Linked DNA regions of Kluyveromyces lactis. The protein of the gene in region 2 binds, or shares a complex with, the protein of the main gene of each other region. Links are inferred from orthologs where the notes say so. Each region holds a gene or a part of one and is shown on either strand. Other genes may lie near its edges. The genes, in order: GPA1, STE4 and STE18.

The links.
Region 1: the proteins of STE4 (region 2) and GPA1 are in contact, whole or in part, in a cryo-EM structure (PDB 7AD3), measured with the Saccharomyces cerevisiae proteins. The link is inferred for Kluyveromyces lactis from reciprocal best matches to the Saccharomyces cerevisiae genes STE4 and GPA1. Residues at the interface, in NP_014855.3 of Saccharomyces cerevisiae: Asn85, Gly90, His91, Asn92, Lys94, Ser104, Gln112, Asp113, Phe115, Leu117, Ala122, Ser123, Leu125, Lys126, Gln127, Asn128, Ala129, Gln135, Trp136, Leu138, Leu154, Asn155, Asn156, Arg168, Cys182, Tyr183, Asp224, Leu226, Ser248, Asp272; in NP_011868.1 of Saccharomyces cerevisiae: Thr7, Gln8, Thr9, Ile10, Asn20, Lys21, Ala23, Asn24, Ile27, Glu28, Ser30, Leu31, Gln32, Glu34, Lys35, Asp38, Lys43, Thr301, Gly302, Ile303, Glu305, Leu318, Arg324, Ser325, Glu326, Lys329, Trp330, His332, Cys333, Phe334.
Region 3: the proteins of STE4 (region 2) and STE18 are in contact, whole or in part, in a cryo-EM structure (PDB 7AD3), measured with the Saccharomyces cerevisiae proteins. The link is inferred for Kluyveromyces lactis from reciprocal best matches to the Saccharomyces cerevisiae genes STE4 and STE18. Residues at the interface, in NP_014855.3 of Saccharomyces cerevisiae: Ile60, Ala63, Ser64, Leu65, Met68, Ala69, Leu75, Lys79, Asn81, Phe279, Asp281, Ser284, Met296, Asp298, Arg300, Ser301, Ile305, Ser360, Gly361, Arg362, Leu379, Gly421, Tyr422; in NP_012619.1 of Saccharomyces cerevisiae: Arg50, Ile51, Thr52, Ala53, Ser54, Asn55, Ala56, Cys57, Leu58, Thr59, Ile60, Ile61, Tyr63, Thr64, Ser65, Thr67, Lys68, Asp69, Tyr70, Thr71, Leu72.

Annotation. Positions count from the first base shown.
Region 1 is NC_006042.1:2,405,115-2,408,549, reverse strand, and holds GPA1 (guanine nucleotide-binding protein subunit alpha), read right to left. Parts: upstream 1,954-3,435; coding exon 610-1,953; downstream 1-609. Other genes in the region: SRX1 (sulfiredoxin), read right to left, coding at 1-269; cytochrome c1 heme lyase CYT2, read left to right, coding at 2,719-3,435. UniProt on the Saccharomyces cerevisiae protein: Alpha subunit of the heterotrimeric guanine nucleotide-binding protein (G protein) that mediates mating pheromone signal transduction.
Region 2 is NC_006040.1:584,765-588,157, reverse strand, and holds STE4 (G protein subunit beta), read right to left. Parts: upstream 1,870-3,393; coding exon 559-1,869; downstream 1-558. Other genes in the region: KLLA0_D06809g (uncharacterized protein), read left to right, coding at 1-449; TBF1 (Tbf1p), read right to left, coding at 3,122-3,393. UniProt on the Saccharomyces cerevisiae protein: Implicated in the a- and alpha-factor response pathway. The beta and gamma chains of the putative yeast mating response pathway G protein play a positive role in initiation of the mating response.
Region 3 is NC_006041.1:557,298-559,375, forward strand, and holds STE18 (Ste18p), read right to left. Parts: upstream 845-2,078; coding exon 572-844; downstream 1-571. Other genes in the region: ERV2 (flavin-linked sulfhydryl oxidase), read left to right, coding at 1-434; TMH11 (Tmh11p), read left to right, coding at 1,397-1,714. UniProt on the Saccharomyces cerevisiae protein: Implicated in the pheromone A- and alpha-factor response pathway. The beta and gamma chains of the putative yeast mating response pathway G protein play a positive role in initiation of the mating response.

The DNA.
Region 1 (3,435 bases), on a different chromosome or scaffold from region 2:
CAGCCGCCGAATGCAAAGTACCTTGTTTCTCCTGTTTCCGGGTAACGGACGGCAGCGACGTCCACTGGAGGTAGACGCTGATCGGCGGGTAATGTGGCAACACGTTCTGCAGCTTGTGACTCGGTCATTGTTCGAGACGCCTTCGGTGTTCCCTTGAAAGTAGATATCATCGCATCGATCTTTGCATGGTCTAGGACCGGCTGAATGGGCCGTATGATCTGGCTCAATGGGATGTTCTTTTCCTTGCACAAACTCGTCTGCATAGACATTCTCTGTAATGGTATGTTGGGTGTGTATGTTTTTTTATGGCTCTTGATTAACGGTTATATCCTGCAAGTATCTATATATTGTCAGTACAGTAGAACTTCGTCAAGCAAGGGTACTTATGTGTCTTGTTGAAGTTCTTAAATAGTAGACTTGCTTGCTATCTTTCGTTACCCGGAAACACCCTGTTTTTTTGCCTTTTCACTTTTAACCTGGCCTTTGTGATGGGGTCTGACAAATATTTGAGGTTACCCTCTAAAAGATCTAGAACCTTATTCATCGCTTAACTATGTACAACTTATATGTAATGTGTGCGCGTTACCTGACATATTACACCTAAAGGATTTATAAGATGCCGCTCTTTTTTAGGTTTTGTTGAATTACTAAATCTGTCACGGCACCTAGAACGAATCTCATTGATTGTGTATCGGTTGCACAAGTTCGATGTACGTAGATGGGCTTGTTACTTCTGTTCAAGCTTAAGAATAATGATTCGAAATATTTCAGTCCAGTCTCGCTATCACCCAGTTTCCCTGGATAATTGGGGAACCATGTTCTGATTGGAGATCTCTTCACCTTTTCTTGGAAAATATCTACTTTGTTTAAGAATAGTATGAAAGGTGTGTTGGCAAACCATCTAGAATTCAATAGTGTATCTAATAATACTATCGATTCGTGCATACGGTTCACCCTTTCATCTTCGAATAACATTTGATCATATTCACTAATTGCTATTACAAATACCACAGCAGTAATACCTTCGAAACAATGGATCCATTTTCTTCTCTCGCTTCGTTGTCCCCCAGCATCGTAAACTTTGAACGTGCTTGGTCCAATCTTGAAACTGTTTTCGGTGATCCCAGTGGTCTTAATTCTTCCTTTCAAAATGTCCATGTCATCACAAACATAATCAACTCGAGCGAATTTTTCAATGTTATCAAAATAATACGATGCAGATCCTTCCAATTGAAATTCACTTGACCTATTGAAACATTGTCTGATCCCCTTGTCCTGCGTCCAAAGCTTTTTGATTGCATAGGCAATTTCTTCGTTGGTACTTTGGTCTATACGTTTCAACTCTGAAGTCTCCGAGGAACCAGTATAACTTGTCCCGGCTAATTTTTCACTCAAGAAAGCGTCTGTCTCATCCTCTTCTTCAGGATCAGCACCATTTGATTCCTTGAATCCAAGCGTGGTTTGCCTCTTCTTCTTAGATCCTATGCCATTATATTTCAACACATACTCGTTTAGGAACTCTGAACCACCCGCCATTCTGGCATCAATCTGGTCCAATGTGTTAGCACGGAAGATCTTCTCTTTGCATTGGTGTAATTCCGTATTCACCAATTGCCCCGAATGTGCATTTTTCAAATCACTATCCAATTCGATGCCCAACTTGCCTGCTTGTAAGATTAGCGTTCTCATCGACTCAATTGCATCTGCCCAGATGACTTGTCCATATTGCATTCGTTCTCTATGGGTAAATCCGCCTTGGTGTAGGAGTTTCATTTGTTTCAACACTGTTGATTTACCGCTTTCTCCTGCTCCTAATAGAAGGAGCTTCACCTCATTCTTATTCTTATTCCTTTCCTGCTGTAAATTTTGCTCAATGAGATCATTTGCCCTTTTATTTTGAATGAAGGGATCATCCTCGTTCTCATAGTTTCCTGTACTTGCGACGCAACCCATAATGCTTAATTTCTTGCCGGCCAGCGTCAGTTTCTTTCATTTGTTTCATTTTCCTTTATAGTTCACGTTTTCGCCGTAGTTGGCACGATGTGGCCAATCCGTCTATATATATGTTAATATTAAAAGGTAACGTAGCAATATTTACTTTACATTCCTGATTTAGCATTGCATAGCCTTTATCATAGGAACCTCAAAACATGATGAAGCTTTGAGTCAAGAACCTCAACTCAGATACCCTAGAAATCTCACAGAGACGACAACTAAAATCAAGCTCAATTGGAAAATAAAACAAGCAAGTAAAAAACAAACAAGCACTTGACACTGTTTAAGGGTTTGCTTCCTTTTAAAAAACATTCCTAGCAACGTCCCTGTTTCAGATTTAGGTTGAAGTCGCTCTGCAGGTAATTACTGCACCACAATATGTTAACGGTGGCTGCAAGATCGATTGCTATGTACAACGGAGAGCTGTCTCCATCTGGAGGTCAAGTCACGTGAGAAACAAGGATGTTTGTCGCACATTCGGGTAATGAAATGTCATCTCCCGTGGATATCAATTTCATTCTGAAACTTCATCAATTTGATATCAATTGAAAAGAAATGAATGAAATGGAAAAGTATGCAGAACATGCGAATACAGGAAAGCTTATTCATGCGCATTTCATCAGGATAGGCTTGAACGCAATAGTTCGAAATATAGAAGCAACATCGTTGGCGGCTTAAAGGGGATTCGCGACTGTTTAGAAGCTAACTGTGGAGTGCAAAAGAATGCCAGAACAGCCTAAGTGTCCTGTGGATGACTCCACGAAGGAAGTGTGGTTGAAACAACAGAGCACTAATAATAAGAATGAATCAGCAAAAGCACTACCTCCAAATCATCCACCGGCTAGTTCTGAAGGGTCAGGAGTTTGTCCGGTAGACCATTCTTCCCAGGATGTATGGCTGAAAAACCATCTACAGACCGTTAATGGCTCTGCTGGCGGTGCTGCAGTTGCAGCAGCACCAGCACCAATCATATCGATCATCACTGAGGATGTCGAATGTTCAAGTGATGAGATACCTGAACACCCGAAATATACCACAGCTGTTAATTTGCCAACAGAGAGAGAGAAATCCTCCATTCCTAGAACCGGAACATCGGATAATTGGGTTTATCCATCAGAGAAGCAATTCTTCGAGGCAATGAAGAGAAAAAATTGGGATCCCGAAGCTGTGGATATGAAAGCCGTTGTTCCCATCCACAATTCCGTTAATGAAAGAGTATGGAATTATATCAAAATTTGGGAAGACGGACAAGGGGGAGATGTCTGTGGTGGCATCAAATTGACTAGTTTCAAAGGCGATTCAAAGAAGTTAACCCCAAGAGCATGGTTTAGATCCTCAATCCTTGGAATGACCAAACCTTTTGATAGGCACGATTGGGTCGTCGATCGCTGCGGGAAACAAATAGATTATGTCATCGACTTCTATTCGAATCCAGAACCT
Region 2 (3,393 bases):
CCTTCACCCTAGATGAGCAAGGTTGGGGTGAGTTTGAGCTAAAGATAATAGCAAAGGTCAAATTTTGCTCGACAACTTACACTTTTCATCACGAACTATCCTTCGATAATAATGCGTACAATGTTGATTATGAGGGAAGGTTTCCCTACCATCAAACCAAACTGCGGGAAGAGTTATTAAATTCTGGCAGTGTACCAATTTACAATGAAGATGAAATAAGTTTGGGTCAAGTTACAAACTTACAAAGGGCTATTAATCTTATATCGGTATCTGATGTTGATACTATTCAAAAGGTAATTAATACAATTGTTACATTTCCTCCGGTATCTGAAGAAATTGCTAAGAGACGTCATCAAGAGGATGACATTGTAATATTATTGTCTCAAATTCCGAACCAGCTGCTCAATAAAATTTGCAGGTTGGTGGAGGCTTCCTCAGCTGCATCTTAAAGTTTCACTTACTGCGATGAACAAGAGCCAAACTGAGCGGTTTCAGTAGTATTATAAGGGCTATTTTGCGGCTTTTTTCGATATGCATTACCATTCTCAGTTCATCATTTCACTGATGAACCGGTGTCCAAACTTTTAGGGTCATATCCCATGAGCTAGACACTACTGCCATTCCATCAGGGCTCGTCTTGACGGCATTTATTCTGTTTCGATGACCATCAACTTTGCCAATCATTTCTCCTTTGATAATATCCCATACTGCACACCCGTAATCCGCATAACAAGCGTACATCAATCTACCAGAAGAGCTGAAATCTATTGATATGACTCCTTGATCTTCGATACAACTTTCCTTGAAATTCAAAGATTGAGGTGTTTTTACAATTGGATAAGACGAAGTTGAAGAAGAGGATGAGCCATACCGATTTTTTTGAATACGAGAATAAGCATGAGAATGAGGATGAGGATGATGTTGTTGTTGAAGCTGGTGCTGCTGAAGTAAACCGTCTGAAAATGAGTACGTCGATATCTGACAATCACTTCTTAAGTCAAATAACCTAGCGCTACCATCATCTGAACCCGCCATGAAGGATTCTCCATTGTTGAAAAATTTGATGGCACTAACATCACTATCACTGATGAAAAAACTTTGGGCTGAATTCGGCTGTCTAACATCCCATAGATACGCATACCCGTCCGATCCTCCGGTGATGAAATTATGACCATATCGACCAGTGTTTGCTGGTGGTAAATCCATGGTCAAGACATCGCCTAAGTGATCTATAAATTCCGTAACTCTTTTACTTTTAGGAATATCCCACATAGCGCATGTCATATCACCACTTGCAGTCAAAATAGTCCTCTCATCAAGAAACTCCGTAGCTGAAATGTAGCAGGTATGGCCCTTGAAGATGGAAATCACATTCTGTTGTATTCTATTATCTCTTGAAACACGATACACTGAACAATGATTGTCCAAACCCGCACTTGCAACCAGATTTCCGCTGGGACTGATAGCGCTACTCAAGACCCATTGGGATAACAAGGGGATAGCGCTTTTTTTAAGCCCAGTGAAGGGATCCCATATGATTATAAACCCGTCTTGGCTCGAGCTGAGTACGCTTGCCGAATCCTGGCTCCATTTTACGTCTGAGATTTTATTATTATGTCCTTTCAAAGTTCGAACCGGTTGTAAGTTTAACTCGTGTAATGAATTGACGCCGTGAGACAAGTTCATCAATTGAGTGTCTTGAATTTTGCCTTTAATTCTGTTGATTTGGTCGTATAACTGCTTGCACTCCGTCTTTGCTGTCCTTATTTTGTCCTCCACTGTACCAGCTGAATTCATATTGGGATAATGGTAATCGTGCACAATCAGTTCCTGTGGACGAATTGCATATTCTGCTGAATCGACTTCCATCTTGGATGCTGTTTGCAACTAGACACTGTAATAAGGAAAGGAAGGGGGTTGAAATGAAATGAGTAAGTATCGAACTTTGCAAACTTCAATCAATGATCACCAGCATTAGAATCTGCGATTCGATTAAGAGGCACTCTGAAACAGATTTCGTCCTTTCTGCTGATTTCCTCTCCAGGACCTTCATATATATATATATCCCTAATTTACTCACAACAAACTAATTTACTACAAATATGAACAAGGCAATGTACCAAAAATGCCCATTAACGCCGCGAAAGGAAACGACCATATTTCTTCCATCATGTATATATATATCATGCATAAAAGTCATGTCATTTTTGCAAACAACATTAAACCTCCGAACCAAAGCTGTACAGGCAATCTTTCTCTGCTATTTCACTTGTTTAACAGATTGTCAACTTCGATGTATATGCTGTACTGCTGTTAAATCCTAATGAACCAATGCCTTATTTAGTTCGCTATGTAACTCAATTGCTAATTGCAGCTCAAACTTCCAGTCATGGATTTAGACACTCCAAATAAAAGCAAAAGTAATATAAAAGATATCAATGCACATATTCAAGCGTGCTTTCCTTAGCGTCTCGTTCTACAGCATGAGGAATTGTATCCTCAAAAGGGCCAGTGTCGAAGCTCCCCAGTGAAACAGCGTTGTATATTTCACATGATGCCTAGAAAAGCCTCTCTTAAACAAGACAGATCTTACCAAGTTTTTGTGAAATGACAACCTCAAAAACTGTCGCTCTTTGCAAGACGATCTCCACGCTAGGTGAAAAAATAAAATAAAGGAAGCCTACGCGAACACTCAATACAGACGCAGACTATCACATAGCTCTCACACCTTACTTAGATACATTTACTATGGCGTTATGGCATTTACTGCGTTCAGTTTTCGGTGACAGGGGAAAAGGTCTCCGGTACCAGGAACGGTTAATGATGTGTGGCTTGTAGCAACCAAAAAAAACCACTGTTCTAGAGTCCTAACTTCGAATGCAACATGTAGTCGAATTTGCTATCATGATGCAATGATACTATGATATACCTAATGTTCCCACATGAAAGAGCTTGCTGGCCACAAACCAAAAAAATGTAAAGATTAGGGAATCGAATAGATCCTGTTGTGAAAAACTGCTGCATAAGGTTATTCAAGGACGAGATGATACTATGACTATGCATTCAATGATAACTACGAGTTTATATATGCTAAATTGGTCCCGCTTTCCCGACGCTCACATCAGACCGCTGGTTTGGGCTTGGATTTGGGTTTCTTCTTGCTTTTCAGACCTCTTTCTAAATCACCTGTCACCTTCTCCAAGTACTCTGGAACTGGTTTCATATTTTTTAAGTAGTGCATTTTCCAATTTCTTGCCTTGTCCTTCAGTTGAACTTGGGACCTGTTCTTTAAAGATTCCGACACCGTTCCTCCAGGACCGTACAGAGATAATATTTTGGCCCATGCAGGTCCGCACTGTTTCAAACCGGATTTCAAACAATCTTCTTCCTCTT
Region 3 (2,078 bases), on a different chromosome or scaffold from region 2:
ACGATGATGCATCAGGTACGATTATGCCGAAGATGCCTGATCAGGAGGCGAAAAAGGCTTTGGGGCGGGCTTCATGGAAATATTTCCACACTCTTTTAGCCAGATTTCCCGACGAGCCTACAGAGCAAGAGAAAACGAAACTACGTGAATTTCTTTACCTATATGCGGAGTTATATCCATGTGGCGAATGTTCTTACCATTTCGTCAAGATGTTGAAGAAATACCCACCACAAGTAGCCAGTAGAACCACTGCTGCTTTATGGGGCTGTCATATTCATAATCTAGTGAACGATCATCTTGAAAAACCAAGGTACGATTGTAACACAATCTTAGAAGATTACGACTGTGGATGCACTGACGAGAACGGTAATATCGATCCATCTTTGAAAATGAACAAAGTAACGTTGAACAAAGAGGAGAAACAATTGGGATGAAGTGAGGGAATCGTTTACCCTCCGTATGTGTCAATTGAAAGAATAAGATCTAATATTGTTGCATTCGCATTTCGTTTTATCTAAATATATATGTAACTAATAAGCATAGAGAGTATACGGCAGCAATATTTTTATCATCACATTATGGTACAACAGGCACTCGTTTCCTCGTGAGATCTAGCAAAATTGTTCTTCCTCATAGTATTATTATATGGGTTTTCACCAACCATTGGGTAACCCCATACTTCTGGAACAGCGTAATCCTTATGGGTTGAGGTATAGTCGATTATGGACAAACAAGCATTTGACGCAGTCATTCTTTCCCTTGCTAGCTCATTTCTTAATTTATTATTCAATTCTTCGATTCTTCTCAATTTCAATTCCTGGATCTTATATGGTAACTCTCCCATCAGTGGTACACAAATACAAACTCGAAAACTACACCAAGGAAGAGAGCTTATCTTTACTCACTCTTATCACTGCACCGAGTTTTTCTGCAAAACAGTTGTACCAAGCGTTAAAACTACCAATTACAAACCTTTATATACATAAAACCCTTGACTGAAACAACGTTTTCTTTTAGCAATCCTGTACTAAATTTCCCGCTGGCATGAGAACCTCCAGTATCTCAGTCAATATTTGTCTGGTTGTGGTTCATCTTGAAACCTCAAATCAGTATCTAATGAGGTTTTGGCCATAAAAAAAACTCATACTGACGCTGTCCAGCGCCTGGGAAAGGAGACCTTTTTTAGTCACGTGACTGTCGAACCCCGATCCAATCCCTTTTCTTTGCTTTCCCTGTATGAAATTCAGAGATAAAAGTGAAAACAAAATTACAAATGCAATGACCATCATCATGATAGACATGTTCAAACTAAATACACCTCACAATTTATATAGCACAACCCAGTCTAGTTCTCACCGACAGAGTTCATCTAATATTCACAAAGATAACAATTACAATGGACCATCCAAGTTTTGCTTTAGCTGCTCTAGCCACCATTGGTGGTACCATGGGTTACATCCGTAAGGGAAGTGTTCCATCGTTGGTTGCCGGGTTGACCTTCGGTGGTATTTACGGGTACGCTGGATACCTTTTGAAGAACAATGCTGACAACGGGTTAGAAATCGCATTAGGTGCGTCCAGTGTGATGCTAGTCACCGGTATCGCCAGAGGTATCCCAGGCAGATTCAAGAAACCAGTGCCAGTGGTGTTGACTGTTCTTGGTGGTCTGGGTACTTGGTACTACTACAAGAAGTACAAGGAATTCTACCCATAAGAATACTACATAATGTGAGTACATATCATTCGTTTTAACTGTTTTTTTTCTAAATCTGTATATAGGTCTAATGTTAAAGTCGAATTCATGAAACTAATAGTAAATATTAATATTATAACAGGAAAAATGATATTGAATTGGTAAAATGCATATAATATAGAGTGAGAGAAATATAATAATATATGGTAGTATAATATATTATTGAAAAAAGATAGGTGTTCGTTACAAGTAGTGAACGTAAGCAGGGTTGATAGTCAAAAATTCCACTATCAGAAAATTAAAACCAGTTTAATCTTGTAAAATGCATGGGGTATGATATATTTATTGTATGGTTGTGTGGATGATTGAGTGATTATTCTCACTT